Linked DNA regions of Saccharomyces cerevisiae S288C. The protein of the gene in region 2 interacts with the protein of the main gene of each other region in a biochemical or structural test. Each region holds a gene or a part of one and is shown on either strand. Other genes may lie near its edges. The genes, in order: SSN2 and MED4.

Region 1 (3,931 bases), on a different chromosome or scaffold from region 2:
AACACACTTTTGCGTCTATCGCGGGGTGTTTCCACAGGGAGTGGCGCACCTGGGTCCATATATAATGGACTCGTTGGCAAGGTCATTTCATCTATCGGAATATCCAAATATTTCCTCTTTCCATTTAATCTTTTTGTAGTTCCGCTCATCGTACGGATATTCGGTTTTTCAGATGAGGGAAAAAATGGAATATCTTTACCAAGATCAGTATGCATTTCCTTGTTATTTTTATTAATGCTTTTATTGTTATTATTTTCTTCTTCATCAGACATTTCGAACATATCCTCGGTAATTTCGTCCGATATACTTTTGTTCGATTCGTTTGTAGAATTCGATTTATTGCTATCGCCAAATAAATCCTCATCCTCATCCTCACCAAACAATTCCTTGTCTACCATAGAGTCACTTTTATCACTTGGCAGATTTTCGTTCTGTTCTCGTTGTTCCAGTGTTCCCTCTTTATTATGAAGTGTGTCTACGCTTCCTGTCTTGCTCACGGAATTATTTACCTTTTCGAGTGATCTACCATTTGCCTCCAGTTCCGTTTTCAGTGGGCTGTTCTCTAAGTCATTTGATACTGTAGTTTGTTTCCTATCATTAAATAATTCATTCTCATTGATGTTATTATTAGGGGTATTTAAGAAAGCTGGAGCAAATTGATCGCTGGGCGACAGCATTAATTTATCAATGCCTGTGAAATTAGGGGAGAAATCTTTCGGAGATATCTTATTAGTTTCTTGGACAGAATGATAAGAAGCGGGTTGAGAACTAATTGAGTTGTTCTTATAATGTTGAAACTGTTCTGTATATGCTCCATCTGAGCTTAAGGGATTTGTACCAGCAATATTACTGCTCAATACGCCGGAACTTCCTGGAGTCCTATAGGCAGCTGTTTGCTTTAATTGTATGAAATCATCAATGGCATCCAGAGCATCTTGCAAACAGTGAAATTCTGATGGATCTCCGGAAGTAGAATTTTCTATATCAGCTACTGGTTGGGCGAAGATTAAATGCAGCGGCCATACTAGCTTCTTTGCTTCAAGTAAGGGAGTTAAATACGAAGCTATAGTAGGTGTGTGGCCGTTGAGATGTCCTAAGTCAGGAACAACAGCAACCCATTTCAAATTTTTTTTATTTTGTAAGTTTATACCATGAGATACACTTAACGTCGTCAAGAGAAGTTCTGTATGTTTTGGTGGCGTTATCAAGTATCCTTGCTTGGAAGCAGGGGCCAAATGCATCCTTATTCCAGATGGTGCTAAATAAAGCGCATGCTTTGAAAGGAAAGATTCTTCCAAATTTTCCTCCTTCATTGGTACTAATCCCATGTTCTTGGCACATAACGACACTGTGAGATCTCCGTTTACAAAAAGGTGTGGTTCTAGCTGTACGAGATAATTTGGCACTCCGCTTAATGATATGCAGGCATTCCCAAATTGTATTAGCTTATTGTGTGAACCTAATGCCAAATTAATGTAAATTTTCCTTCTTAAAGCTTTTAAAAAAAGAGCATAGTGTGGCGGTAAGTTTGGCTTTGAATAATCGGCAGTGAAAGTTCCGATTTTATCTGGGCTCACTGGTTTATGTTCTATCGCAGGAGGTGTCGGTACCGGATCATCATTTATACTGAAACACCATAAATCCCTTGAAAGCAGCGCAACTAGAGTCTTTGGATCCTGCTTCCGTAGCATGAATTCCATTTGGATAGACCATTGATCGTTTTGGGCTTTAGAAATGTACTGATGATAGTTGATCTTTTTGATTTTCTCCACTCTATAGAAGCTGGATAAAACATCCTCAAGTCTGTACGTGGAAGCGTCAGAACTCATACTACCTCCTCAGATCTTGATATCCAGCTTAAACGTTCTTAAAATATAGTTACACCTTACTTCAACAAAGTAATTTCCGATTTCACACCATTCGTCTTAAAGGGTTGTTGTAAGAGTGTACTACAATAAATACTACACTACTTGATCCGGCACTACCCGGTCCCTCCACCTGAAAAAATGTTTCAATTCTTCGCTTTGTTAAGCGCGAATATATCGATGCTATTTTCTAAGGATTGTTTATTCAGTATGATAAAACAATGAACAGCAGGAAATGCGGAGGAGAATCACTTACTCGGCTGTTATTCATCTTCTTATTATAAAAGAATTGCTCCATTTTGGTTCGATCCCTTAATGCCTTACAAAATCAACCGAATGAAAAATTCGCTCGAGATAAATGAAACCGGAGGTACCTTATTGGTTGATGAGCGGAAGAGATTAAGAATAGGTGAGTTATATCGCTACAAGTTTTCCGTGAACAAAGATGTAATTAAGGAACAAGGGCTAGATGTATCGCATCTATTCTTGAGGATCAAGAACGAGGAAAGCGCGCTTCTGCGACCGCTTTATTTGACGGGGCCATATTCTTTTTACATCGATGTTAGGCCGCATAACTATAATGAGAATCGCAAGTTTCCAGGGAAGGAAATTATTCCATTTGTTGAAAATCTAAAGCCGGACGAAAGATTTAAAGTAAAAATATTATTGAATGAGAATTCTAGAGTTGGCGACACTTCTCTTTATTCATGGACAATAGATATAATTTCGCAGTTGGCGGTAACCACAATTCCGAAGCTGGAATTTTCGTTTAGGATAGGGACTACAAGGAAGGTGGTCAAGAAATCGAATGGGCTCTTTAAGAGTATTGAAGGTGTCTCTTTAGAGATGTGGGATACTGAAACCCTTTGGGATTTACCACCAAAATTTCCAGAAAAGCCTGTACATCTCGTTATTATGACACATGGTATATTTTCTAATATCGGGTGTGATATGCTATATATGAAAGATAAAATTGAAGAAATGACGTTTCCTATGGATGAGTCTATTAATCCGAATATAATTGTTCGAGGTTTTATGGGCAACGTCGGGAAATCAGGTCACGGTATACATTGCTTGGGCGTTAGAGTTGGAAAGTATGTGCTTGAGACTGTTGATAAGTTGAATAAAAAGTACAAAGTAGACAGGATATCATTCATTGGCCATTCCCTAGGAGGGCCAACTCAATCCATGGCGGTGCGTTACATAAGTATTAAAAGACCAGATTTTTTTGATGCAGTTAAAGGTGTTAAACCCGTTAATTTTATTACGTTAGCTAGTCCTTTCATCGGTGTTATTGGCGACTTCCCCTTTTATTTGTCTGTTCCACTGGATATGGGCGCGCTTGGTTTGACAGGAAGGGACTTGAATTTAAAATATACACCGTTAACGTCCAAAGATGGGTTGTATGCAGACGATGAAGTGTACCCAGAACATTCCAAGTACATATTAGAAATTCTTCCACAGGCGCCGGCTAAAAAAGTATTTGAGTCTTTTAAGAGGAGAACGATATATGCCAATGTCATGGATGATGGTATTGTTCCATTACGAACTGCTGCACTTTTGTATCTGGATTGGCGAAGCATACACAAAGTCCAGAAAATTAGGAAAAAAAATAAGAACTCTCCAACTTCAAGCGAGTTTGTGTCCTCCGATAGCCCAGAGAGTAGTGGAGCATCATCACCTTCAAACGAAAATGGTAACAACGTCGGGGAGATTCCTGCAGAAAGTCCAAACAAAAAAGCGACGTTGCAGTGGACTTTACCTCAGGCCGTTATCCACGGAAGTAAAATAAATAAATATAAGAGAGGACAAACTAATGAAGCCAACTCAGATTCGGATAATGAACAAGGAGTATTTCTTGATGGTCAAAAGTTCGAACCTCCAAAAGAAGCCAATACTGTATTGTCTGCATTATCGGTATTGACAGCTGCCATACCAGATCAGGAGTATATCAAAAACCCGGCTGTAAGGAAAGATGAAGTCATTCATGATAAACTTTATCACCCGGAAGAATTACCTCCGCCGCATTATGAGAATAGGCCTATCGTTAAGAAGCTTATATATCC
Region 2 (3,686 bases):
AACATGAAAAGGGAAAGACAGCAGAAGAAGAAGAAATGAACTTAGGTATTCCACCAATTGAGTTAGAAAAGTGGGACAATGCTAAGGAAGATTGGGAAGATTTCTGCAAAGATTACAAAGAATGGAGAAATAAAAATGGTCTTGAAATAGAAGAGGAAAACCTTTCTAAAGCTTTTGAAAGATTCAAGCAGGAATTTTCTAACGCTGCAAGTGGATCAGGTGAACGTGTGAGAAAAATGAGTTTTAGTGGTTACTCACCAAAGCCTATTTCAAAAAAGGAAGAGTAGATGGCCAAAAACGACAGATGCGTGTGGAAGTCACAGTCTTGTTGTCTTATTTTCCAGTTCCTGTGGGAACTTACTTTCAAATGTTTTTCATACACTTTGACATATTGCAGTAAATTATATATGTAATTTTATATACGCTTTTACCTACACGAATTATTGTCTAACTTTTTTTTTTCTTCATTCCTAACGAGGAAGAGATTCAAGACACTGCAACTAGAAGTCGTCCGGATCAAACAGATCAAGATCAAGATCTAGGGCATCATCATTATTTTCTTCCTTTTCTTTATCTTTGGTATTGTCTGCCTCATCACCAACTTCTTTAGCAGTACCATCAAATATAAACGAGTCTGTCTTTGGTGTACCTTCTTTCTTGGCCATCTGCCCTTTTTGTTCTTCACTTTGAGATGGCGGTACGGTCGGTACTTCTGTTTCTTCTACTTCTTCACCGGGTATTCTAGTTAGCTCTTTACTATGTAATGAGGCCATAGCAAGCATTCCTCTTCGTAGGGCATCCTCTGCGGGCCATATAAAATTGTTGGGTCCCACAGCTCCCTTGTCGAACGTTGGTGGTATTTTGGTAAACTTGGAGAGTTTGGTGGCATAATCCAACAACTCTGTCGAATTGATTTTCGATCTTTGCTGTAAAATTGTGTTTTTCTCGAACTCTACTTGTTCAAGCATCGGTAGTGCTTTTAACTCGTCATGACATTCATTTAGAATTTCCAATATCTTCCTGGTTTTAGAATCTAGTTCTTCAGAGTCTTTGTCAATCTTCTGTAAGTTGCGGTAGATATTGTCATATTCAGCTAACAGTTTGACGTTTTCAAACAAGGCCTCATCAGTTCTGATCAAATCCTTGGCAATATCAAGGTTTGGTTTGAAACGATCTACAGATTCCACCAACTTACTCAATGTATCCTCGTACCGGCACAAATCTTCGTAGAGTTGGACCTTAGATAATTTGTCTTCACTATTCGTGTTTGAAGTAGCCTCTGCTACCAGGGATACAGAGGATGATCTGATGTGACCCATAGAAAACTCTACCGCTTTAGTATCTTGGACAGACATAACATTCGTTGTGTGTACTCTGGAAGTAATTGATACTAGATGCTTTCTCCACCGTTAACAATATACCAGAAAACCTTGTTGAAAACGGGACACGTTATAACTACTTTCCTTCGCGGTATGGTGAGCAGAGAATGCAAAAGTTTATCTTTTTCTCCAGCCTACCTTACGTAGGTGGTAATGCACTATTTTTTCGCATTTCTTTGAAAAGGCTGGCAATACGTCAAAGGCTATGTATGCTATAAGGGAAAGAAAGCTTATACGGAAAATAGCAACTGAATGTACTATGTTACTGTGCATTCGCATTCTATGTTAAAATTCAAAATCCATTGAGATGTATACACAAACATTTAAATAAGACATTTATATAAGCCGGCGCTTCCTGAAGTTCAGCACATGAAAAAATAGTGCTGCTCTTCTACCTTCAACCCAAATTGGTATTGAACCCAGAGCCTTTTTCAGGACTGGTTGCGATACCATCATGCTTCAGTTGCTTTTCAACTTCTTCCTTAAAGCCCTTTTTCCATAAATCATGATTTTCACCAATGACATAAGTAAGCGTCTTCTTCATATAACCTTCAGGACCTAAGAAACCCAACGCTTCTATAACATCTTCCAACAGTATTGTCATTCCGGAGCCTCTCTCCTCGCCTACTCCTGGATGCCTTATATTCACTATATGGACATGAAAATGGTAATATGAAGGTTGATAATGAATGAAAACTCTTAGCTCGTCCGGGTTTACATTATAGTCATAGTGCTGGGGGATGATGGTCTTAATCTTCTTATTGAGTCTAATTAACCAATCTCTATGGTTTGGGTTCAAATCTCTCAAAGATTTGATGTCGTCCCTGTACACGATCGCGACCAGGTATAACGAATCAATGTTGATTCCGTCCCACTTCATATCGGGCAAGATGACGAATCCATCCTCTTTATTCCTGCTACTGTATTCCTTATAAACAACTCTATCATCCTCGGCGCCCTCGTAAAGAATGTTGTTTACCCATTTCATTCTTTCGCTGGTACACATCTCTTGGATAAAGGGCACAACTATGTTTCTATACATATCAGGAGTTTCTCTGACGACATGTAAATCCTGCTGGTCGTATCCCTTGATGTGGAACTGCGAGGCGGGCCAAATTAAGTTAACCTTCGCAGTTGGGTTATGCAAAATATGCTGCTTCAAAACAGACAACCCCCAGTAGTAGATGTCATTCGAAGTTAATTCCTTCAGATCAGTAATACCGTTTAAAAAGGAGTACTCGTCTATTTCACGATGAAAGAAAATCGGAGTGCTACGGCCACTTTGAGAGGGTCTACGTACCGTTTCATCAAATATGAAATGCGTCTTTTCAGCAGTTAACACGGCATCCTTCCCATCTATGCTGCCTAGTAGTGAGATTACCTTTGTATGAGGGTTCGAATCTAACACCCTGACGTATTTAAACCTCCCAATTAAACTAGCTAAATCTTGGGAACCCATCATGTATTTTTTTACTTTTACACGCTCAAATCTTTTCAATTTTGCAATGAAAAGGTACCGACCTAACATATATTTGAAGACCAAACGAAACCCCCGTGCTTCTGTTTCTCTTCTTTCTGCCTTTATACTCATTGGTATTGTCACCCCTTATTTCCCCCCTAGGCGTCTGCGCGGCCGCTGTCATGGGGCTGTCCTTTCGGACTAGCATATAATCACTGACGCTAGCTCTAATCGATCAATAATTAAGTGGAAGTATTTTGTTGAGGTGGGTGATTATTATGGGGAAGATTTTTGACAATCGAATGAACACTTTAACAGCTTTTGGAGGCTAGAGTGCCAGTAAGCTCCATACTTCTTTGGAGTTGATTTCTTTTTCTTGCAGAATAGGTTGGACAAAGTACATCCATCAGAACAATTGCAGGTGCCTTTTGTTCACGCAATTACTGGCTTTTCCTTGTTTGTTTGGTCAAGAAGTTAGTGTTTAGCTTTTTCCCTTCATTTTTTTATTTTTCTTATTTTATAGATGCTTAAATGTCATTTTTGTCTTACTAATCATTAAATAGTTGGTCCGAAAGATAGGTCCAAGCGCAAGTCCAAGCCAATGGCTTGCTCTCGACTGTCTTCCATTACAATATGCAAGTTTTCTATCTAGCTGCTGTCGCAAGCATGTTTTTTTGTAAAAGAACTTCTCCTCTACTGCGTATCAAATAAATATTTATAATCTGGCTGACTCATTAGTTCCTCCCAGCCAAGGTTGTACGCCGTCCAAAATTCGTTGGATATTGTCTGTGCCAGTTCAGTCTCAATTGGCCCAGTTTCATTGTTATGCGAAGCGTTTTCGCTGTTAT

What was found.
Region 1: the proteins of MED4 (region 2) and SSN2 form a complex in vitro, tested with the Saccharomyces cerevisiae proteins (one study listed by BioGRID).

What each region holds. Positions count from the first base shown.
Region 1 is NC_001136.10:1,348,110-1,352,040, forward strand, and holds the start of SSN2 (Ssn2p), read right to left. Parts: upstream 1,830-3,931; coding exon 1-1,829. Other genes in the region: YDR444W (putative hydrolase), read left to right, coding at 2,181-3,931. UniProt on the Saccharomyces cerevisiae protein: Component of the SRB8-11 complex. The SRB8-11 complex is a regulatory module of the Mediator complex which is itself involved in regulation of basal and activated RNA polymerase II-dependent transcription.
Region 2 is NC_001147.6:656,416-660,101, reverse strand, and holds MED4 (Med4p), read right to left. Parts: upstream 1,356-3,686; coding exon 501-1,355; downstream 1-500. Other genes in the region: ALE1 (lysophospholipid acyltransferase), read left to right, coding at 1-287; DCS2 (5'-(N(7)-methyl 5'-triphosphoguanosine)-(mRNA) diphosphatase), read right to left, coding at 1,777-2,838; YRM1 (Yrm1p), read right to left, coding at 3,532-3,686. UniProt on the Saccharomyces cerevisiae protein: Component of the Mediator complex, a coactivator involved in the regulated transcription of nearly all RNA polymerase II-dependent genes.